Drosophila melanogaster: one gene and its partners. The protein of the gene in region 2 purifies or fractionates together with the protein of the main gene of each other region. This does not show direct contact. Each region holds a gene or a part of one and is shown on either strand. Other genes may lie near its edges.

Region 1 (7,127 bases), on a different chromosome or scaffold from region 2:
ATAGCACGCACATTCCCGGTGACGTCACAAGGCTTTCCCAACGCTTTTTCCATAGAATCAGTTGTTGTTTGGGCTGCACAAGCCGGCAATGTAAACAAAACATAAAATATATGAATGGGTGAGTGAGTTGTGCGGGTGTCTGGGTTATTCGACTGCTTCGGCTGAGTGGGTGGCTGTTTTGGGTGGAAATTGGGTGACCCCGATGCACTGGTGTTGGTGCAAATTCGGCAATGCGTGTGCGCTGCGCCTGATGAATGAAAAGTTCGAGTGGCCGCGTGGAAAGCGGGAAAACATCTGAGCGTCAGCTGCACGGTCATATGTTTGATATTATTCCTGTGAAAGCGGAAAATGATTTTGAATATTAAAGGAAATCGATGCGGAAAATGTTTTGGAGTATTTAATAGCCATTAAATGGATAACGTAGATTTTGTCACAGGTTTATAAAATGTAGTTATAGGTAATATATTCACTAAAACAGAAACTGCCTTACACACTTTTAGTATATTGTTTTATTTACTTAAATTACCTAAGTAAATAAAAGTATTTTCAAATTGTTACAAAAAGCACACCCTTTTTTCTATTTTTGTTAATATTTGAATGCCCCACCAATCGATTGAATTTGAAGCCAATTCGTGATTCGGAAAGCGCAGAGTGTCCTGTATTAAATTCAGCCTTGCAGACAAATGCAAAAACCATCGACAGGCCGTGTCAGAAAACACACGAAAATCGAGTGAGCCCCAGAGCAATCGCATTTTAATTTGAATTCTTTCTGGTGAGGCCCTTACAAAAGCCCCCATGCGATGTGCACGACCAAAAAATGAACTTAAGTTTCGGCCAAGAATCTTGTTGAAGAATTTCTATTTGAGCATTTGTCATGTCTTCGCCTTAGTCTATAAAATATACTGTCGGTGGATGGGGACGCGGGGTGTGTGCAAATATGCGAAAGCTAAATGTCAGAGTCAACCCTTTCGCAGGCCATTCTGCCTGCTTTTTTTTCAGCCTTTTCTGGCCGGTGTTGCCGCCTTGGCCCCTTTTTTGGGTGGAAAGGAAAGTTTTTATCTTAAGCTGCGCGCTGACAGGCAGCAAAGCGGCAAGCGAGGCAACACAAGTACAAGCCGGACAAAGAAGCCAGGGGGAGTGGGGATGGGCTGGCCGAACGGAAAATGGGAAATGGAAAATGGACGGGCAACGACAAGGCGGGCAAACGTCAAGTTATAGAAAATGCTAGTGCCTGCACAATAAGAAAAGTGTCATCCGAATTGCTAATCAATGGAATGATGTTGAGGAGACTCAAAAGAAATTTAAAGACCTACTAATAAGAAAAAACTGAAAAATCATTAAGTTTTTAAACTATTCAAACATATTTAAATAATAATTTGTGCAAATTTATTATTGCTTAAAACAACTAAATAAAAATATATAATGTCATTCAAAGTTTCAAAAAAAATTTATTCAATTAAACAAAGGCCATTTTGTATCTTTTCAAAAGTATATGACTTAAAAATAGGTTCATTCATTTTGCTTATGCAAGCTAAGGACTCAGCTTTTTGTCAAAGTGCAGAAAAGGGGAATGAAACTGGTCTTAGAGGGAGAAAAAATTAAAGGACATGCTGAACGCATTCCTTGGGACACGGGCTGACAGTGAGTGATTTGACCATACCCTCATTTGCGTGCAGCAAGGACCAAGATCCGAGCTCTGGGTTCCGGGTTCCGGGGTTCCGACTACCGAGATCCAGGCACACCAATGGATTAATGTGCAAGGATGCGACTCGTCAGGCAGGCCAAGAAAATTACGTCAAGCTACGCAATGGGCCCGTGCCTTTCCCACTGCCCCCCACCACCCCACAACCTAACCAAATCCAACCCAGCCCAGCACAACCCAAACCATTATCCTTTTGGAAATCTGATGATGAGCGCCGACTGCTGCGGGCGGGCGACTCAAAATGGGAGTGACTCATTTACGCGCTGCACTCGAGTTTCAACCGGCAGCCGGCGAAGGAAAAGCGGGACTCCGAGAACTTTTCCAAGCTATTTCTGCGCCCAAATGACAGCGAAATGTAATAATGAAAAACTTTTTCTTTGTCAACTTGATGAGTATGAAATTTTTCACAAAAAAAAAAAAAGAAAAAAGATTAAATAAAATAAAAGACGAGCGGCAAAGGAACGGGTTGAGCTTGGGTGGCAGGGCGGTGAGCTAGAAATATGAAACGTCAGGACTGGTCCTTAGTCTTAGGTTGGCCTTAGTCTTGGTTGGCCTTCGAGATTAGTTATGGCAAAGGAATTTCCAAGCGAAGGCGCACGCAAATGATTGCATGCCGCATTACGCATACGCCCGGTTGTGCGTGGCCGGTTTTAAAATTGAATTTTAATATACAGCAGACACAAAGAGATGTACATGACCATATGTATATGTATATAGCTGATCCCTGGCCATGGCTGCTATAAGCCAGGTTATCCAGCCACCCCGAAAAAACACATGTTCTGCATTTTTACTTTGTACTGGACCAGGACCCACGGTCCATCATCCCTACCATTTTGCTGCTGCACCGCATCGGGGATTGCGGAATTCATAAGCTATGTGCGTTTGCTACAAAAGTGGAATTTTCGCCACGCCAAAGGATACCCGCTTGCAGGCTCCCAGCTCACAGTTCCCACTTCCCGTTTCCTAGATCCTGAGCATGCCATTAACCCACTCGCAAAAAGCGCAAAATCGCTTAAATTATTGTTACAAGCTGCCAGTGCCAAGTGGCAGGCACAGCAACAGCAAAAACAAGAACAAGACCAGGGGGGCAGGTGGCAGGTGGCAGGTGGCACAGGGCAAACCACCTGAGCTTTTGGCCGCGCTTTGCTTTGAGTGCCAGTTAGCATAACTCCGCAGGCCGCAGGCGAATATGTCTGTTGTTGCTGCTTTTGCCGCTTTGCTACTCTCCTGATGTTGGGTGCTGCTCCTGATTTTGCTGTTGCCGTTAGAAGTATTTGTGGCGCGGCAAAGGACATCCTCTCGGCAGCCCGTTCTCACCTGCCTGCCAAGCTGCAAGCTCCAGCTGAAAGTGTCTTTGGTGAGCGCTACCCACCACCTAAATATACAAAGTGTGGGGGAAAAACAAGAAAAATAACAACCTACAATAGTCTCTTCTTTGTTACCTAAAAATATAAGAAAAGCACACCTCGCAATTGTGTTGAAAAAAACAAATTGATACGAAAAAAAGCGATAGGGATGCCACAACAAAGCGCAATCTTATCAAACGTATTAAACATTTTGCTTATCAAAACAGCGAGGTTTGCACAACAATGCGAAATAGGAGGAGGCAAAATTCTTATCTGCATTTCATCAGTCAAACATTTACTGTAATCAAAAATCGCAACTATAAGGAACACAAGTAAAGGCCACAAATGAGAAGCAAATTATTGTTCGATATCCGTGAATTTGAAGGGGAACGTAATGGCCGGTTCCATGACGAACATGGTCTTGAATGGACGGCTGGCATCCCGATTGAACTCCACATGGAAATTGCGAATCAACTTGGCCACTGTGGTCTCCATTTCCAGATCCACCACCCGTTTGCCAATGCACATGCGGGGTCCAAAGCCAAAGGGAAGGAACGTGAAGGGGCTGACCTGCATCTTCTTTCCGGTCTCCGGATCCCTTAACCAGCGCTCCGGCAGAAATTCATCTGGTCGTGGATAATATGTAGCTTCCTTCATCAGCACATTTGAGCCGAGCAGGACAGTCGTTCCCTTGGGCACCCGGTAACCCGAAAGTATCACATCATTTTGGCAGGTTCTCATGGTTCCCAAGCCATTGGGATAGTATCGCAGTGTCTCCTTGATCACAGCCCTCAAATATGGCATATCCTTCATGTTCTCCTCGTTGAGTAGGGAATCCTTTGTGGGCATGATGCTCAAGAGCTCCTCCCGCAGTTTGGCCTGCTTATCCGGATGCTTTGAGAGGCAGAGTAAAACAGCCGACAGAAGCGTGGCTGTGGCATCCACACCAGCGAATAGGATGTCCAGACTCATAATCACCGCCACCTTGGGATCGATCTCCATTAATCTCTCCAGCATACTGTTACTATTTATTTTTTCGCCAGCCTGGCGGCGCTTTTCCAGTGCATCCTGATTTTCCTTCAGCATTTTCTGGGCCACATTCAAACTGTCATTGAGAGTTCGCTTCATTTTCCTGTAGGTGGGCGTCGATATGATCTTCCACATGGAGGGCTGAATGTCTAGCTTAAATGTGAGACGGAAAATATCCCTCGAGGTCTGGAAGAGGGTCAATGCATCGGAATTATCGCGGTTTTTTCTAATCAGACCCATTTGCCGATCGAAAGCCACCAGGCCGAGTGACTCGAAAACAAGCCGGCTTATTTCATCCGTAAAATCTTCGGGGACTTCTAGAGTTTTTGGATCGCGGATTTCCTTAATGCTGCACAGTAAAATGGAATTTATTGCTATATATAAATAACAATTCAATAACAAAAATTTCTTACCGCTCTATAAACTCATTATTGATATTAGACAATGGTTCATAATACATTCTCAAGCCCCTGGGTTGCATAAAGATGGGATTAATGGCTGATCGTAGTTTTCCCCATGCCTCATTTTGTCTGAAATATTCAAATTCAATTGTTTCCTTGCTACTTATTAGATTTTATACTCACGAAGCCACCAATCCTTGAACCTCACCGTAAACATCTGGTCGAACGTGTTCGCGGAAATATACAATGGAATCCAGGCCATCACGACGTGGCCAGATACCCTCGTTGCGGAATACCATCTCAATGTCCTTTGTGTTGAAAGTGGTGACCCAATCCTTGCGGCCAAACATTCCGGGCATTACATAGATATCTCCATAGCGCTTTCGCATGGCACTGGTGTATTCCGTAATCGATGCATTTTGGAATTCACCACCGGGCATGAAAGCCCTCATAAATTTGAATTTGTTGGGCCGCGGAATCTCATCGTAGGTCTTGTGCTCCTCCGTTATCTATAATTGGAAACTAATAACATGATAAATCTATTTCGACTGGATTTTGTGCATACTAACACTAGATTTAGCTTGTTCATGTGCCAAAACGGAGGCTGATCTTGAAGATCGAACGGGACCCACGTAAATCGCCACAGATCGCGCACTGCTCAATGTATTCATTCTATTCCTTTTGGTGATCAACTGCAACTAAAAACAGTTCCACTTTCGAGAACGTTCTTATACCAAAGGCTTATCTCTAAAACGTAGAAAAGAGAGGAGAGCGAATAACTTGAAATGCTTCAAAATGCAAAAATCTCAAACAAAAACAAAAGCCAGCAAACAAAGCATGAGTTTCATTTTCTTATCAGCTGAACGGTATAATCGCCGTGAATTGCCTACCTCACTCAACTGAAAAAATAAACAAATGAACGTGACTGGCTAGAAAAACAAATTGAGAGCGTTGGAACTTACAATAAATACACCTCAGAGAATTTGATACTACTATTACGACTATTACATACCCGTTACTCATTTAGTGGGATCGCTAGAAAAAAATCTAAAATATTTAAATATTTTTTAAAAATTTATAAGGATTCTAGTTCAACGGTAGACAATTTCAAGATAAATAACCAAATTAAAGAAAAATAAAAACAATTCTTAGAGTTGATCCTTGTTCTCTTTGCATACTGATATTTTATTTATTTTTTATTTTATTTATTTACTGGCGCCGCTTTTCCACAGAGTCCTCGGTGTCCTTTATCATTTTCTGTGAGAACATTAAGATGTCATCGAGAAGACGCATCATCATCCGAAAGTTTGGAGTGGAGATAAATCTCCACATTGATGGCTGTATATTCAATTGAAAGGCATATCTGAACATCGTGCTTCGTGTTTTGGAACACAGTCAATGCATCTGGATCGTCTCGATTTCGACTGATCAAACCCATTGGGCGATCGAAAGCCACCAAGCCAAGGGATTCGAAAACCAGGCGGCATCTCCAGAGTTCTAGCATCTCGAATTTCTTTAATGTTGGAGAAAAAGTAAAACTCAGGTGGACATCGAAATATACAAGTATGAATTAATTCTTAGCGCTCAATGAACTAGTTGTTGAACTCATAATAAGTTTTCAATCCTTTGGGTTGCATAAAAATTGAATTGACGGCTGATCGCATCTTGCCCCACAACGCTGCTTGCCTTAAATTATAGTTTCCAAATTAACTTCCGCTTTTGATATACATATGTAATTATTTGGTAACTTACGCGAATATCAGACCCACACTTTCTCCATAAATGGAAATATGTGATCGAGGGAAAGAAATCCTTTTCCGGCCAAGTTCCCTCACTGCGGAAAACAGTCTCGATATTCTTTGTACTAAATGTGGTGACTCAATCCTTGCGACCAAACATTCCAGGCATTATGAAGATATCACCATAACAACTTCTCATCGCTGCTGCATAATCCAAAATTGAGGCATCGTGAAATTCTCCACCCGGCATAAATGCCCTTGCAAATTCCTGTTTTCTGGGAAGTGGAATGTTCTTATAGGATCTCGCTTCAGTGACTACACTATCGGCTACCTTAATATCCAGATCACATATGTATGTTAGTGGAATACCCGATTGTGGTGATAGTATTTCAACTCACATTGGCCAAAATCTGTGCCTGACTAGAAGATGCCCTCACAAGCTGAATGGATTGCGCATTCTGCGCAATACTCATAGTTAATTTTATTAACTGCTTGCCTAAAATGACAACTGAGCTGGGAAGCCTGCCAAAATGCTTATATAGCATCGCATCCCAAGAGGAATAACAAAACGATTCTCTACAAATTGAAAAGCTGCAATCCAGCATGACTCCTAAGAATTCCCACCATCACAGTGATAGAAAGCGAAATTATTGCCGTAAGTCAAGAAAGCTTGATACTGCTAAAAAAATATCAACCGCTCATATTCAATATAAGTATGTTATTGTTCAGACATAGGCTTATATGCTCAGTAGAAGATATGTTTTATTTTGATTTCTGTCGGAATGCCTTTTAGTAACATCCTTTAGTAACATCTCTTTAAACAGCGAGGTTTGCACAACAATGCGAAATAGGAGGAGGCAAAATTCTTATCTGCATTTCATCAGTCAAACATTTACTGTAATCAAAAATC
Region 2 (5,501 bases):
CAAAAATTAATTTTCCTAAATCCTTCAAAATGTGACATTGGTCGTTAGCATTGGTAACTAGCTGCTCAAAACAGTTATTCTTTCATTTTTACGATCATTTTTAGCCAAGTTATGAGGAAAATTCCGTTTGAAAATATCAACATTTTGGCAAAATCCGTTTTTCCGAATTTCGGCCATCAAATAATCAGTTTTTTTGCCACAAAATTAAAAATAATTGTCTGAATATGGAATGTCATACTTCGTTGAGCTCGTAATTAAATTTCCAAACGAACTGAGCTAAAAAATGGCAATTATATTTTTTGGCCATTTTTTGTAAATTTTGATGATGTTACCCCTTACAAAAAATGAGAAATTTGACCAAAAAATTAATTTTCCCAAATCGGCTGAAAAGTGGCGTGGGTCGAAAACATTGGTTCTCCAGTGCTCAGAAATGTTACTCTTTTCGCTTTATGATCATTTTAAGCCAAGTTATGTTTAAAAAAAGCTCATAAAAATTCGGGAAATAATTGTGGTCCAAATAAGAAGGCAGTTTGTTTAGTTTTGTTAAGCATAAATATATGATTTATCATTTATTCCTTTTTTTTTTCTGTTTAATGGTCTTCAATTTGCGCACATCAAATGTTTACAACAATTGTATTCATTTACAAGTTCGTTTAGTTGTCGGTTTGATGGAGTTTTAGACATTTTTGAAATGTTTTGGTTTGATCGCAGCACTCATCCTCGAATCAAAAGCTCAGCTTGCAACATCATATCAATTTGTTTCACAATTAAGTAGAAGGATTACACGACAGGGACAAATTTAGCGAGAAATTGTGCGACTTTGAGAGTGGGACGTGTGATATAATTGCTAATGTGTTGTGTGTGGATTATTAGTGTAGTAAACAGAACGTGTAAGGTTAGCGATGATGTTAAACGAGAGTTCATAATTAAAAAAAATATGATCCTAGAACAAGAATACTTAAGCGCCTAGCAGTAGCCCCTGTCGGGAACGCGTCGGCGTGGAGCGCAACGGATGATGTTGTCCACGCGCAAGATCATCTCGGCAGCCTCCGAGGCGGACATCAGAACTTGGCGCTTAACGGCGAACGACTCGGTGATGCCCAGTTCACGGACATCGGCCACCTTGCCCAGCTCCATGTCCAGACCCAGAGTCTGTTTGCCCTGGGCGTGGCCGGCACGCAGCTCCGAAACCAGTTGGGCTGAATCGTAGCCAGCATTGTCGGCAATGGCCGTGGGCAGGGACAGCAGAGCGCCTGTAATACGAATAATAAAAGCATTTCATTAGGAGCCATCTCCAGCATATGATGTGGATTTCAGCGACTTACGGGCAAAGGCCTCGATAGCGATGGCCTCCTTGCCGGGTGTCTCGGCTGCCTTCTTCAGCACGGCGGTGGCCATTAGAGCCTCGGAGCAGCCGCCACCGAAAATGATGCGCGACTCCTTGACGGTGGCCGCCAGCACGCAGAGGGCGTCGTGCAGGGAACGATCAGCCTCGTCCAGAATCTGTTGGGTAGCACCGCGGATCACGATGGTGCAGGCCTCGCCCAGCTTAACGCCGCTAAAACGCAACAGCGTATCCTCGCCGATCATCACCTGTTCGATGACATCGCATTCGCCAAGCTTCACCAGCGAGGGATTCTCAAAGGTGGAGACAATCTCGCCGCCGGTGCAATACGCCAGACGCTCGATGCCATCGAAATCGGCATGCTCGATGGACATTACACGGGCATCGGCAAACAGCTGCTCCGGATAGTTGTAGATCAATTGCCGGTTGATGAACACGTTGCACTTGTGCTTCAGGATCTTGTCCACCTTTTCCTTCATCTTCTCCTTCTCGGCCATCTCCAGGTCGGCGATCTTGGCCAGCGAATCGACCTTGATGCTGCTGCCGAACACCTTAATCTTATCGGTGTCCATGGGCGTGTTGGCAATCAGGATTCTGGCATTCTCAATCTGCGATGGAGAAGAGCACCCATGTATGAGATCATGAGATTCTTTTACTTGGTCTTGAAAGACTCACTTGCACGCGCAACATTTCCACGTTGATGAGGCTGGCTGTCCAACAAACTCGTCAAAATGGCTGTGATATGAAGTCAAATCCACATAGCTCACAGTCATTTTGACGCGTTAATAGACAGCAGAGGTAGACGATGTTTAGCACGATGGAACTGGAAACATTACTTACACGCTGTGGCTGGTGCACGCCGGGCTTCTTGTCCAGCAGGAAGCCCTCGTCCAGGAACGAGTCTCCCAGTGTGCCGCCCGATTTCTTGATGATCTGTATGGACTTGAGCTCGCCGGAGCCCTTCAGACGCATCACAGCATCCACCGCCAGATTGGCGAAGAAGTCTTTGTGCTGGTGCAGGATCTTCGAGGAGAGCGTGGTGCGGGCAATGTTCAGCAGGTCGTTGCGGAACTTCTCGTCACTGGACGAGTTGTCCTGAGCGGCGGCGGTGAGCGCCTCCAGTGCCACCTGGGTGGCCTGACGCCAGCCAGAGACGATGATCTGTGGGTGCAGCTTCTGTTCGACTAGTTTCTCCGCCTCGCGCAGCAGTTCCGATGCCAGAACGGTGACCGAGGTGGTGCCATCGCCCACTTCCTCGTCCTGCACACGCGACATATCGACCAGAATCTTGGCGGCCGGATTGTCTACACCGACGGCACGCAGAATGGTGGCACCATCGTTGGTCACCTCAACATGACCGGCGTTGCGTCCGGTGGCCACCAGGATCTTGTCCATACCCTTCGGACCCAGCGTGCTCTTTACCAGATCACCAATGGCGATGGCACCAATGAACGAGGACAGACGGGCCATCTCGGCCTTCTCCTCCTGCGCCTCATTCTTGAGCACGCGCACGGGATTCAAGGACATCTCCTGCAAGACAAAACGCGATCAATTGGTGTGAATCATTTCGATTGATTGTATAAATTTTCTAAGAAGGGCACATTTCTTGAGACTTAATTTAATTACAAAAATGGCATGACTTTTTTTTAGCGTAGATCTTATGGAGGATTAATCATCAGAAGCAAGTAAAGCTAATTCATAATTACTATTCATGCAGGAAATTATATTATAGCTTTTTTTGCGAAATAAAATTTTTTTTTTAACATTTAATAATTTAGCATAATGAAAAAGTGATATGATGCCAAGATGACATTGCAAAACACCATTATGATATTCTCATCGACAGATCAAGAATGCTATCTTGACAATGGCAGGCGGCTGCCCAATATGTTGCAATTTCTGGCGAGGATTGTCTGTTGGCATGGCCAAATCCGCAGTCACTGCAAACCAGATGCGTTTGTGATGCGAAAATATTCAAAATGTATATGTATTCTATGTCAGATTGTTATGGTTTTTCGCTCTGTGCAGCCATATCGCCTCGACCTAACCCCAAAAAGTGGCGGACGAGGGAGAGCGGCGCCGAGTGATTCATCGGCAGCAAAAACGGCGTGGAATGCATCTCGAAGGTTCTCAGCCAGCTGCCCGAGCCGATCCCGGCCAGCAATCTAGTGATAGCTCCAATTCACCCAGATCCCGTGGACAGCAGGAGAAGGTTCTGGAAGTGGCAGGCGAAATCGGAGTCCATGGCTCACGTGCAAGCCGCCTGTCAAAATGGCTTGCGCTTCGTTCACACACACACCCGGCAAATGAAAACGCCGAATTGGCCACAATTATCAATGAAAAGTGGGCGAATTCACGCAACGCCAATAGCCCGCACCGTAAACTACTCGAATAATATAGTTGTTACTTTTAAATTTACCATTTTCTCTGCGTAATTAGTCGATTTGTGATCACAGAATTTTCAAATACCACACGGGCGCAACAAAGCGACAAAGAAAATGGAGACAGTCGATGGCTGTTATCGATAACGCGCGGCTATCGGGTAGAAATACCGACAACGGAAAGGTGCTAACGCCTGCATGAACTTAAATACCAAAAATAGTGTTGACACAAACCAGCACTCGAAAGTTTTGCAGTTATCGATATGCAATGCAGGGGCGCTTATTTCAAATAATTTTGCGCGCCTAAATATTAAAAGATTTTGATTTGATTTACTTTATTGAAGTATATTTGCAGTCAGGTAGACATTGGAAGCAAAGGTCTAGCGTGAACTCAGGCAGACTTCTTCAATTTCTTGGCAGCCATCTCCGCTTTCTTGGCAGCCATCTCCGCATTCCTGGTAGCCATCTCCGCTTCCTTGACCTTCTTCATCTTCTTCATCTTCTTCACTTGCTTCTTGAAATACTCCATCTGGTCGGGATCGTACCAGAAGGTGGCCCGCTTGCGGGCCTGCGACCATACGCGAACTTTGCAAACCGCCAGCTCGTAGTCCATGCGATCGGTTAGATAGTACCACTTGAAGCGTGGCAGGAACTTCATTTTCCACAGCAAGCCACGGAATCGGGACGACTTGCCATCGGTTATAGGCTTATTGTTCAGCTCTAGAGCGATTTTTTTGGCCCCACTTTTCGAAATGAACTCCACCCAGCCCTTACGCATGTTCTTCTTTGTCTTGAAACCTAAAGTAATTGAGATAAAAGTTTATACTGGGTAATCAGTGGGTCATTTGTGCATGCCACTTGGTCCACTCACTTGACAGCGTTTCCGGCTGCACGTAAACTCTGCCGACGACGCTGTGCAAGTTCATGATTTCCTTCAGGCAGTCCCCGTCCATGTCCTTGGGTATGTTGGATATTAAGATGACGCCTACCTTGTGCATCTTCTCGCGTTTCTTCTCGGGGGCCCAGGAATTGAAGGTGGCTTTGAAATTGGCCAGCTCCTTTTTATCGTCATTTGAGGGATTTGCTATCCCATTTGCAGACTCACCTTCCTTTGTCTGCGGCTTACCCCAGCGCGCCTCGTCTAGCTTAGTCTCCTCCACTTTCATGGAAGTGGACTTGCGCTTTGGCTTTGATGTATTAATTATTTTTTTCATTGTAGCTTTCGTTTTAGCTGGATCGAATATATTTTGTAATGTACGCAATCAGGTATGACAGTTGACAGGCGATGTCAGTTGACGTTTTTATCGAAGAGCTATCGATGTGTTGGTACCCTTTCATTAGAAAAGCATATCGCTTTAAAAACACTTTGTAACAGAACATTTGATTTACTCAGCCCTATTTTAATCGAGAAATCTTAACCATCCCTGTGCGTTACAGTGGCCTCCTTCAGCTTGAGTAGCTGAAGTAGCATTAACACGCACACACAATCGGCGAAATTATCGATATGCAGGGGCCCTAATTTCAAATAATTTTGCGCGCCTAATTATTTAAAGATTTTGATTTGATTTACTTAATTGAAGTATATTTGCAGTCAGGTAGACATTGGAAGCAAAGGTCTAGCGTGAACTCAGGCAGACTTCTTCAATTTCTTGGCAGCCATCTCCGCTTTCTTGGCAGCCATCTCCGCATTCCTGGTAGCCATCTCCGCTTTCTTGACCTTCTTCATCTTCTTCACTTGCTTCTTGAAATACTCCATCTGGTCGGGATCGTACAAG
Region 3 (5,867 bases), on a different chromosome or scaffold from region 2:
CGAGGACGAGGTGCTGAATACGTTCGAAAACTATCGCAGCGACTTCGATAAGCTGTTCAAGGAGCGCGAGTTCAAGCCGCGCACCAGTCACTACATGAACATTGCCCACATGGACGTCATCGACATACTGAGCAAGAGCATTCACCAGCAGATGCTCAAGAAACTGGGCGAGGTCTACAGCAGTCGAAGCGTAAGTTTGGGGCGTCCTGGAGTGACACACATATCCATCCTAACATGTCCCGATTACCAGAACCACACGTCGCTGCTGGTGAACGGACTGCTCCCGCTGTGGATAGTGCGCCTCTTTATGGACACATACACGCTGTCCCAATCGGAGGCCGTGCAGCAGATCCGCGACCAGATGAAGTACAACACCTACTTGAGGGCCCTGAACGATGAGCCGCTGAGTTCCGATCTTGACTGATCGAGCAATCAATTCACTTTTTAACTATTTTTTGGTATCCGATTGCGGAAATTTTACATTGCGCGCCATATTAAATAGGCAGTTGTTTTAGTTTTAAATTCATTTGTCTTTATTTGTTTTGATTGGAATCTGTTGTGTACTAAGCATATTACATTGTATAAATACATAATTCACTTGCTTTCGAAAAAAGAAAACGCTTGAGCAACCAAGTGTGCTGGCTGAAATGGTGGAGTGCTCTCTGGGCGACTGGCGGTGATGACGGCGTGGGCGAAGGACTACGAAATTATTTTACTTAGAATCTAGCGTGTAATGTTGATGGAGTGCCCGCCCGGCCACCCGGTGGCGGTTTAAAACTCAGTCTGAACTTCACACTCTTATGTACAATCTATTTGGACAGTGGGTGAGGTGAAGTAGTTTACAGCTCGTCGTGCTGCTGCTCCTCCTCCTCATCATCGGCGTTGCCGCTCTCCTGGCTGCCGGTGGCGGTCTCCTCGGCATCATCCTCCTCCTCCTCGTCGAACTCCACCTGCTCGTCTTGGGAGACACCCAAGGTCTGGCGCATCATCTGCTCAATACTGTCGGCGAACTGCGAAGTCTCCTGGAGCATGTATCCAGACCGCAGGGTGGCGGTGCGGAACATCATCACAGCCATGTCCTTGGCGGTGTCATCGGCCTCGTCGGCCTCCACGCGGCGCAGCAGCTCGCGCATCAGCGGATGCCTGGGATTGATCTCGAGCGTTTTCTTCTGGTTGAGGTAGTAGGTGCGCTGAGGATCGTCGGACTTCTGGTGGGCGTTGGACATGGCCAGACGCTCCATGTTGCCGGTCCAGCCGAAGACGCCGGCCACGAGGGCGCATGGCGAGTTGCTCAGACGCTCGGAAACCTGGGCCTTGGAGATCTGATCCTTGAGTGCCACATCGTTCAGCCACTTGACCAGCGGCTCGAAGGTGCTCTTTAGCGACTCGAAGTTCTTCTTGCTCTTCTCGGACTCGTTCAGCTGGAATCCCTCCTTGGCCACGTTCTGGAACTTCTTGCCATCGAACTCGGGCAGCGCGGAGATGCAGTACTCGTCGACGGCCTCCACCAGATACAGCACCTCGTATCCCTTGCTCAGCAGACGCTCGACGAACGGCGACTTCTCGACCTCAGCGCGGTTGGCACCAGCGATGTAGTAGATGTGCTCCTGCTTGGCCTTCATGCGCTCCTTGTACTCCGCCAGCGAGGTGACGCCCTTGCCGTTGGAGGTCTGGAAGCGGAGCAGCTTGGCGAGACGCGATCGGTTGCTGGGATCCTCCATCACGCCCAATTTGATGCTGAAATGAGTCAATTAAGTCTTGATAAGCAACGAAAATCCAAGAATTCGAGGTTATAGCTAATGGAAATGCTTATTTAACTAAAATAAAATATTTAAGTATAAACTCTACACGTCACCAGTGCCAATATTATAATACTACGTGGATTTCCTTATCTTATCAGCGCGGAATTCTTTAAAGCAACAAACTAAATATATTAATTTGTTGGCAAAAAATAATACACGTCATTCTATTCTCCATATTATAATGGATTCTGCGGAAATGCTTATCATAAATAACTAATTATTTGAACAGGCAAAGAACGTTTCTTAATTCCTAGAAAGCGACACTTACTTGGTGGAGAACTCCTTCCAGAACTTCTCATACGCCTCCTTGTCGATCTTCTTCAGCATATCGAGAACCTTGCGGACCAGCTTCTTCTTGATCACCTTGATGAGCTTGTGCTGCTGCAGAGTTTCGCGGGAAACGTTCAGGGGCAGATCGTCGGAGTCGACGACGCCACGAATGAAGCTCAGGTAGTTGGGCATCATGTCGTTGAACTCGTCGGTGATGAAAACACGGCGCACGTACAGCTTAATGTTGTCGGACTTGGTGCCGTAGCGGTTGAAGGACTCCGATGGCTGCACCTTGGGCACGTAGAGCAAACTCTTGAAGGTCACCTCGCCCTCGGCGATGAAGTGCGTCTGGGTCAGGGGCTCGCTGGAGTCCTTGGTCAGGCTCTTGTAGAAGCTAGTGTACTCATCCTCGGTCACTTCGGCGGGCTTGCGCGTCCAGATGGGCTTGCTGTCGTTGATCAGGGTCCAGTCCCAGGTGGTCTTCGAAACCTTTTTGGTCTTGGGCTTCTCATCTTCGGCCTCCTCGACCTTGGCGTCCTCATCCTCCACGTCATCCTCGCTCTTCTCGGGCTTGGCCTCCTCCTCCACGGGCACCTCCTCCTCGACGGTCTTGCTGGACCACATGCGGATGGGGAAGTTGATGAACTGCGAGTACTTGCGGATGAGCTCGCGCACGGTGTCCTCCTCCAGGAAGTCCTGGGCTTCTTCCTTCAGATACAGCGAGATCACGGATCCTCGCTTCAGAGTATCGCCACGGGGATCCTCGGTGATGCTGAAGCTGTTGGCATCCGACTCCCAGATGTACTGTTTGTCGTCGTTGTGCTTGGTGGTCACCACTACACGATCGGCGACCAAGAAAGCGGAGTAAAAGCCCACACCGAACTGTCCAATCATGTCGTTCATATCGAGTCCCTCCGACTTGCTGGGATCCTGCATCTTGGCCAGAAAATCGGCAGTGCCGGACTTGGCAATTGTACCCAGGTTATTGATCAGATCCTGGTGAGTCATGCCGATACCCGAGTCCATGATGTGCAACGCCTTGTTCTCCTTGTCGGCCTTAATGCGGATGTGCAGCTCCGGATTCGTTTCCAGCTCCTTGCTGTTGGACAGAGCCAATAGGCGGATCTTGTCGATGGCATCGGAGGCGTTGGATATCAATTCACGCAGGAAGATCTCCTTGTTGCGGTAAAGCGAGTTGATAATCAGCTTCATCATGCGGTTGACCTCCGTTTGGAAAGTAAACTTCTTCGCCTGCACGCACAGACAAAAGACAAAGAAAAAAGGGAAAGGAAATCCCGGTCATACGTGTACCTTCCAAATGACCTGGCAATGAACCCACCTTCTCGCGAATTTCCTTCAGCTGCGCCACGTTCAGGCCGTCCAGCTGGATGGCCTCCTCCTCGCGCTTCAGGGTCTCGGCATCTGGGGGATTGGGAATTAGAAAAAGGGGGCGGTTATCGCAACGCTGACGTGTACCAAACAAAACTCGTCGTCGCGAGAGGGGGGCGTGTCTACGTACCGGTGCGGGAGCCCTCCTTGAAGGAGCCCAGATCAAGGTCGATGGTCTCCGTTGTGGCGGCCTCGTCATCGGCGGCTATTTGATTGATGCCTAATCAGACGCGAATCAGACGCCAATTAATAATTAGGTTAAAACACCGGTTCAATGCGGCGTGGCAAATGTGCACACTTACCTGCTAGGAGCAGCAGGCCCACCAGCAAAAAGTACTTCATGATCTTTGGTAGCTTGATTTACGGAGCTCGAGCTATCGGTTCGTCCGGCGAAAGGCCACGTCACGAATAACAGATGCAATAAATTAGTCCGCACTTGCGTCGCCTGCTTTGATTTTTTTTTACTGACGCCGACAAGCGGCTGGAAGGCCTTTAAATGCCTCGCAGAGTGACCGTATTCCGGCGCTGGAACATTCTAAGCGCATTGGAAGGAAATACCAGGGGCTGCACTGGAAATAGGATATATATACAGCACAGAGCACGAAAATAGTGTAATTTAAATAAATTTAATGTTTGCTTATTTGAAAGCCCATACATTCATAGAATCTATTTGGGATTTAGTTTACAAGAGGATGTAGTGTCAAAACTCTACTGTTAAATATATTTAATTTGATAATTTACATTCTTATATCAATAGTTTACAAAAGGGAACACTTAGGCCGGTAGATATATGATTTATATTTGAAACAAATTAGTATCTTTTCATGTATACAACAACTAAGCTTTAAAATAATAAATTCTTCGGTCGGTTGCACAACAACTTCGTGTATATACAATTTTTAAGCTGCCAAAATAGATAACTGAGAACTTATTGATATAGCAAAGTAATGATAAAAATATGAATTGAAATAAAATATAAATTCCTGACAGAGATCAAGGAAATCCATTTCGTTTTAGAATATATAACATATGATTTTGTACCGTTCGGTTTATTTTACAATGTTAAGTTAAATATTTTAATGTTGGTATTTTTATTTGCCATGGCGTTAAGGTTCCGCACCCACATGTGGGTGGACTTGTGCTGGTATTTTCACCCGAGCCATTTTGGTATTTTGCGACGTTCCCGCTGCGGTCACTCTGGGCACGAGGCTTGTTTATTGGGCGAAATTTAATGATTCGCTGTAATCATACAACATTTGCGTCAGTTGCCAAACACCGACCCAGCCAAAATTCCGCTTCGGCCACAAACCGACTCTTATATATTCATAAAACAACCGATCCGCAGCCGCCACTCCAGCAGCAGCAGCTTAGCCGCGAGCAACTAAACCAGAAATTGCTTCCTCGCGTGAATCGTTGAATCGGGGAATCGTCTCTATGTCGTCTGTATGCTAGTCGTGCAACAGCAGTGTCAATTAGCAGTTTCGCATAAGACCACCTCACGCGTACACTCTGCACCACCACCGCCACCGCCGCCGCCTCCGCCAGCAGCACCACCCCCCGAAATACACCCGCCCGTGCGTCCGTGAATCGTCGTGTTATCCGTGTTATACAACAAAATTGCACCAAAAGTGCCCGACATACGCCGGCCAAGAGTTGCCCGCTAACCAACGCCGATCCTCGACAGGCGGAGCGACCCGATCCCAGCGGAGAAAGCGGCTCTGCAGCAGCAACTGCAACAGCGACTTGGCAGAACTGGTCCGGATTAGCAGGTTGTCGTAAGAGGAGCAGCGACTGCAAGGGCGCAACCACAGCATTAGCACACAACACAGTCGATAGTGCAGCCCCACCAGCAGCCTCAACAATCGAAAGCGACGGCAACCGTTCGGATCCACCATGAACATCGACGACTACGAATCGCTGCCCACCACCAGTGTGGGTGTCAATATGACGGCGGGCGCAATTGCGGGCGTGCTGGAGCATGTGGTCATGTATCCGCTGGACTCCGTCAAGGTGAGAGAGACTGCATGGCCGCCTGGTAATCGGAGGAGCAGCGGCATGAACATAACACGACCTAACCTCACTATCAATCGGAATTTTGTGTGTGCCGCCGCTGCTTTGGCATAATCGTGATGTAATTGCCCACGTCTCGAGTGCAACCAAGAGTTGCGTTTCTCATTAAGAGCTCTGGGTGGTATAGCCACATATAGCCGCTCTGAACGCTTATCGTAGCACGTTCCATTGGTTTATGCTTCCGCGATAAGATTAGCCATAGTAATTGGACTAGCTCTTATCGGCGGAGCGTTCTCATCGTTCTTCTGAAAATTCGGTAGGGCCAACCAAGTGCACAAGTCCGCCACTTAAGCGTATGCAAATGCCCACCTCGTAATGACGTTCGCCGCAAGTATA
Region 4 (5,094 bases), on a different chromosome or scaffold from region 2:
TCACCTAAAAAGAAGCTGGCAAAAACTCCAGACAAAAAGACATCACGAAATTGTTTTTCTGTATACTACAAGTGTATACGAATATGTTCTTAAATCGTTGTTTCCAAAATTAAAAATGTATGTATATATTGATGGTCAATTACCTGTATTTCGAGTAAAAGTTCCTGCTTCTTGCGTCGCAGCTCAATCAGCAGTTTTTGCTGCTCCGGTGTAAGTTCTGCAAGAACGAGATGCGAATCAATAATAAATTCATATACTTGTTTCTGGGCATTTTGTAAATTGTATCGCAACACCAACAGTAAAAATAAAAAACACCAGAGCAGCATTCCAGGCACACGCGCCCAACACACATACACACGTGCATACACGAGCTGTTTGCGATGCGATGAAAGCATCTTGTAGGCTACGTCACTAGCTTAGGCCGATAAACAATTTTCACTTGTCGAAACCACAATGGATTGCTAATTGTGCAAATTGGCTTATTAGCGTTACCAAAGCTCTTCGGACTTAATTCTGACGAAGGCCAAAAACGAGAACGCAATGTACATATGTACATAATATACATACATATGTGCACTAACATTTCACCTAGCACACAAGTCTATACATACAAATGTTGCTTGTTGCTTCTCTTATTTTGTAGTTGTGGGTATCCCAATTTGTGATCTTAATAAAATTTTATCAATACAAAGATTCGTATTCTGTTCATGCTAGGCTATATCCTTCGGGCCAGCAAAAGTATCTGCTGTTTACCTGGCATTGAGAATTCACTGCGCCCCTTTGATATGGCACCGTACGATCTGTTGTCGAAATTGTCCATTGCGCTAATCATCGCGGAGCTACTGAGCTACTACACACACTCTCGCGCACACGACACACACTCTAGTTGTACATTTTTCACCAGCAGTTGGCTAATTTTTAAGGCTTTTCATTGAACAATCAAAGACGAACGGATAATAAACAAATCAACACCAAAAAAATTCTATCGCCATTTTCTTTCAGCTCTCCACTAGGGATGTGCTGAATTCAGCTATCGGTTGAGTAAACAACTGAAAAATAACAAGTGCATGCTGACTTAAGCTGGGTGTTACGCGAGCTCTGTGTGGCCACTTTTAAAATATCCTGATGCCACTGCATCTTGTAACCAAACGTAAGAACTTTTTAATCAGTAGAACTAAAAAAATTAGGGCTAATTATTTACTTGCAACAATACATTAAATATTTTTAGGGGTACACTTTTTCAGAGATTAGAGCAGACCTTATCTATTTCAAGACAAATAGCTTGAAAAGCTGTAAAACAACTTTGTTACATCCATTATGGTGTGATTTGCGGGAATCGGCTATTACCATTTCGAAAATTGTTTGTTACAAGTTAAAAACATAAACTTAAAGTTTTGGACGTACATAAAAATATAACATTAAAACAACCTTGTTATAAAAAAATACAATACCACCAATACTTACTGTCCATTTTAAATCTGTTAAAAAATTCACTGAACGAATACGTCTTTCGTCATAACTCCATTTAAAATATCGTCAGGAAATTTACACATCATTTCGTTTTTTTAACGGCACAAACACCTCGGACTTGGTGGCAACGCTGCCAACATATGTGTGCACTGGCATCGATAATTTTTACATCCCTATTTTGAACCGCAGAATTCTAGAAAATTCCACTCGCTGGCCATAGTAATTGTCCGAATTAGTTTAAGCTAAGACTGCCGGATCAAAAGTAAACCAACATCTTCCATCTTTTCATAAAATTGAAGACAGTTTCATACAATTCTACAGTAAGAAAGCGATGGCCAAGTGGGGAGAAGGAGATCCGCGCTGGATTGTGGAGGAGCGGCCCGACGCCACCAACGTGAACAACTGGCACTGGACGGAAAAGAACGCCACGCCATGGTCCAAGGACCGCCTGCATCAGCTTTTTCAGGATTTCAAAATAGGCGAGTATATAAGAATTTGTAGTAGTGTAGAACATACATTTTAGGTATATCCTAACCTAAAAGTAAACTTCTCAAAACGCAGGGCAAAGCGACATTGAGTGTGCCGTGGACTCCGTGGACAAATGCTCCGGGGAGGCCACCGTGAACAATCGCAAGGGCAAGCTCATATTTTTCTACGAGTGGGAGCTGGTGCTCAAGTGGTCTGGAAAGCTCCTAAAGAACAGCAAGCTGATCCACAAGGGCAAGTTAACCATTCCCAATCTCTCCGAGGAGAACGAACTAGCCGACGTAGAGATCACGGTGACAATCGACGAGTCCAACGACGAGTCGGAGACCCTGAAACAGTTCATGTACAACGTGGGACGAGACCGCGTGCGGCAGCAACTGGCTTCCTACATCCGAGAGTTGAAGGAGGAGTACTCCAAGAACCTTATCCTACCAAAGAAGGGCGACGAGGCCGGAGCGGGAAATACTGTGGCGAATTTTAAGGATGCCAACAATACCCGTAATGCAGCCCAAAATATCGCTTTAAACTCCTCGGTGGCGGCTCCTAGGCTGAAGAACTCTGGCATCGGCTGTAAACTGGACGTTCGCACTCTCTCGATGACCGAAGAATTTCACTGCAGCGCCAATGACCTTTACAACGCTCTCACAAAGCCAGAAATGGTCACTGCCTTTACGAGGGCACCTGCCAAAGTAGATGCCGTGCGCGGTGGAGAGTAAGTTTTTGTCCCTGGTCGTTTTATTTTACCATCACATCAGGACCGTTTGTGTCGTCATTTAGTAATCTTGTTATGAATAACCATAAATTTCGCCCCTCGCCCTTGTCTTCACTTCTTTATGGTAAGTAATCTTTTGTCTTTTATTGTAGATTTATTCTTTACGGAGGCAATGTGCTCGGAAAATTCGAAGAGCTCGTCCCTGAAAAAAAAATACAGCAGAGCTGGCGTCTGAAAAACTGGACATCTGGTCACTACTCAAACGTTGTCATAGAGCTGGAAGAAACTGTAAGTTACTAGGACAACGAAAACTAGATATATTATTATTTATTTTTTTAAATTGACCCGCTTAGTGATCCTGATTAACAATATACGATATAATTTTCAAAGAATGTAGTACTCCTTATCAGTCAATAAATAACGCGTATAAGACCATATTCCTACGGGCCTCTAAATTCGAAATATTTACAAAATTTTATGTGCACAAAGAAAATAGTAATATGAAAAAAAAATAACTTTGTGATTTGTCTATTTATTATTTATTGGTTAAGAAAAAAATTAAATTCGTTACAATACGTCGGATTTAAACTTATGAATGTAATGATTTTGGTTTAGTACATTTTTGAAATTTACATTCAGGTTAAATTCCTATTAATACCTAATTACATTATATGATGGAAACCAGCAAATTTGGTTAAAAACGATGTAAAAGCTCGAATCTAATCTAAAAATAAATTCCTGAAGTAAGGGTTCTGCGAAATAGGATGAAACGGATAAAAAACTCTGTATGCCCGTAGAGAAATATGGTCTAGTAGATTCGTTGAAGAATATTTAACAGGATGAAGTGAACTTTTCCGACGCTATATGTATTATTGATCAGTATCAGTAGCCAAATCTATCTAGCCTTGTCTGTCCTTATGAATTTTGAAAAAAGTTTTGAATTTTTTTCGTGTTATTATTTGCCGTTCCAATTTCTATCGAACGTCAAATATATATAATTAGGAAATGTACTTTATTTACCTCTTACTAGTAAATTTAATGGACGATGTTCGTTTGTCAGCCGTCTTTTCGGAGGCAATGCAGCATATTCATCTTTACCTATCTCATTTTTAAAATATATTATTAATACTCCCAGAGTGACGACCACACAATTTGTACTTAATTTATTTCTTTATAGTCGGGGAACTCTATTATAGCGTTCTTCCTTGTTTAATTTTAAGTTTTGCGATCCTTCCTTAAGCTTAATTTTCCTGACTTGACTATAACCAATAAGGATTTTTTTGTATGCCTGTTTTTTTTTTTTTAATTTGTAAGCGTTACTCGCTATACATTCGGAGAATGATGCTTTCAGTGCTATCCCAAAATAATATTTACCTCAAATATAACGCTTCCTCCTTGCAGTCATCCAGCACAATGATGTCGCTCAAGCAGACCGGGATACCCGCGTCCGAATTTGATGCGATGAAGACAAACTGGTACCGATATTACTGGCATAGCATCAAACAGACCTTTGGATTCGGTACCTCAATATCTGATGCCTTATAAGAGGACGCTTCTAGTGCGGATTGCACTGAATGATTGAGGGCTTGGTGTATGGCGGATTATCGAAGGATTATTATTTGTATTCAACCTAGAGTACTGCGAGAATTTCATTTCCAATCATAACTGTAATTTCTGTTTATCCTTAGAGGCTTTTTCAAATCCTCTTAGGTATATCGATCGAACTGGAAAGTCCGCGGCTCGCTAAAAAAACACATTACTTACAAAAAATCGAATACAATTCAGGCATTCGACATTGATTTCACACATTGAGAAACAATAAACAATAATTTAAAACAAAATGTTTATAATTTTGAATTGAATATTAATAATAAATTTGTTATATTATTAAGGACATAAAAAGCTTTAAAAGCCTGAAATTTAAAAAGTTATATTTTTATGATTTCCGATTTTCATACCATTTCTTACTCCGAAGGGGAAAGCATGGGCTAGGTGGCACTGAGTATAAAAGGAGGAATTTTGCTCCACATAATGAAACAGTTTTCCATTCCATTTTATCAGGTTCACTTGCCAAGCCGATTTCTTTATGTTTGTCTGTCTGTCCGTATGAACGCCGCCAAAATCTTTAAGTGAGTGTTTCCGATCGTGAATGTATTCGTAATCAGTATCAACAGCCGAATCAATATAGCCATGTCCATTATAGTCATATATATCTGGAATATAATTATAGTTCCCAAGATCCCGACGATCATACGAACGGACACAAAAAAAGACTAACGGAAAAAGCCATAGCATCTCTGTTTATACCTGTTACTCGTTGAGCTAAAGAGTATAATTGATTATTTAAAAAGTATGTATCAAGAAGAAGGTATCCGACAATATGAAGTATATATATCAATATATGTATATGTGTGTACCAGTATCAA

What was found.
Region 1: the proteins of CCT2 (region 2) and Cyp12d1-p purify together in Drosophila melanogaster (affinity purification with mass spectrometry, with the first as the bait; one large-scale study listed by BioGRID). This does not show direct contact.
Region 3: the proteins of CCT2 (region 2) and Gp93 purify together in Drosophila melanogaster (affinity purification with mass spectrometry, with the first as the bait; one large-scale study listed by BioGRID). This does not show direct contact.
Region 4: the proteins of CCT2 (region 2) and CG1416 purify together in Drosophila melanogaster (affinity purification with mass spectrometry, with the first as the bait; one large-scale study listed by BioGRID). This does not show direct contact.

Annotation. Positions count from the first base shown.
Region 1 is NT_033778.4:11,116,700-11,123,826, forward strand, and holds Cyp12d1-p (cytochrome P450 12d1 proximal), read right to left. Parts: upstream 5,186-7,127; 5' UTR 5,150-5,185; coding exon 5,048-5,149; intron 4,988-5,047; coding exon 4,662-4,987; intron 4,608-4,661; coding exon 4,491-4,607; intron 4,427-4,490; coding exon 3,406-4,426; 3' UTR 526-3,405; downstream 1-525.
Region 2 is NC_004354.4:9,087,862-9,093,362, reverse strand, and holds CCT2 (chaperonin containing TCP1 subunit 2), read right to left. Parts: upstream 3,851-5,501; 5' UTR 3,768-3,850; coding exon 3,765-3,767; intron 2,876-3,764; coding exon 2,186-2,875; intron 2,134-2,185; exon of another isoform or gene 2,064-2,133; intron 1,954-2,063; coding exon 1,326-1,953; intron 1,254-1,325; coding exon 967-1,253; 3' UTR 537-966; downstream 1-536. Other genes in the region: CG6999 (uncharacterized protein), read right to left, coding at 4,118-4,524, 4,598-4,892; CG32706 (uncharacterized protein), read right to left, coding at 5,354-5,501.
Region 3 is NT_033777.3:27,946,798-27,952,664, reverse strand, and holds Gp93 (glycoprotein 93), read right to left. Parts: upstream 3,955-5,867; 5' UTR 3,804-3,954; coding exon 3,764-3,803; intron 3,682-3,763; coding exon 3,592-3,681; intron 3,495-3,591; coding exon 3,412-3,494; intron 3,324-3,411; coding exon 2,071-3,323; intron 1,738-2,070; coding exon 840-1,737; 3' UTR 514-839; downstream 1-513. Other genes in the region: CG4951 (uncharacterized protein), read left to right, coding at 1-190, 251-424; mfrn (mitoferrin), read left to right, coding at 5,355-5,471.
Region 4 is NT_033779.5:21,756,411-21,761,504, forward strand, and holds CG1416 (uncharacterized protein), read left to right. Parts: upstream 1-1,599; 5' UTR 1,600-1,801; coding exon 1,802-1,949; intron 1,950-2,031; coding exon 2,032-2,668; intron 2,669-2,820; coding exon 2,821-2,956; intron 2,957-4,069; coding exon 4,070-4,213; 3' UTR 4,214-4,590; downstream 4,591-5,094.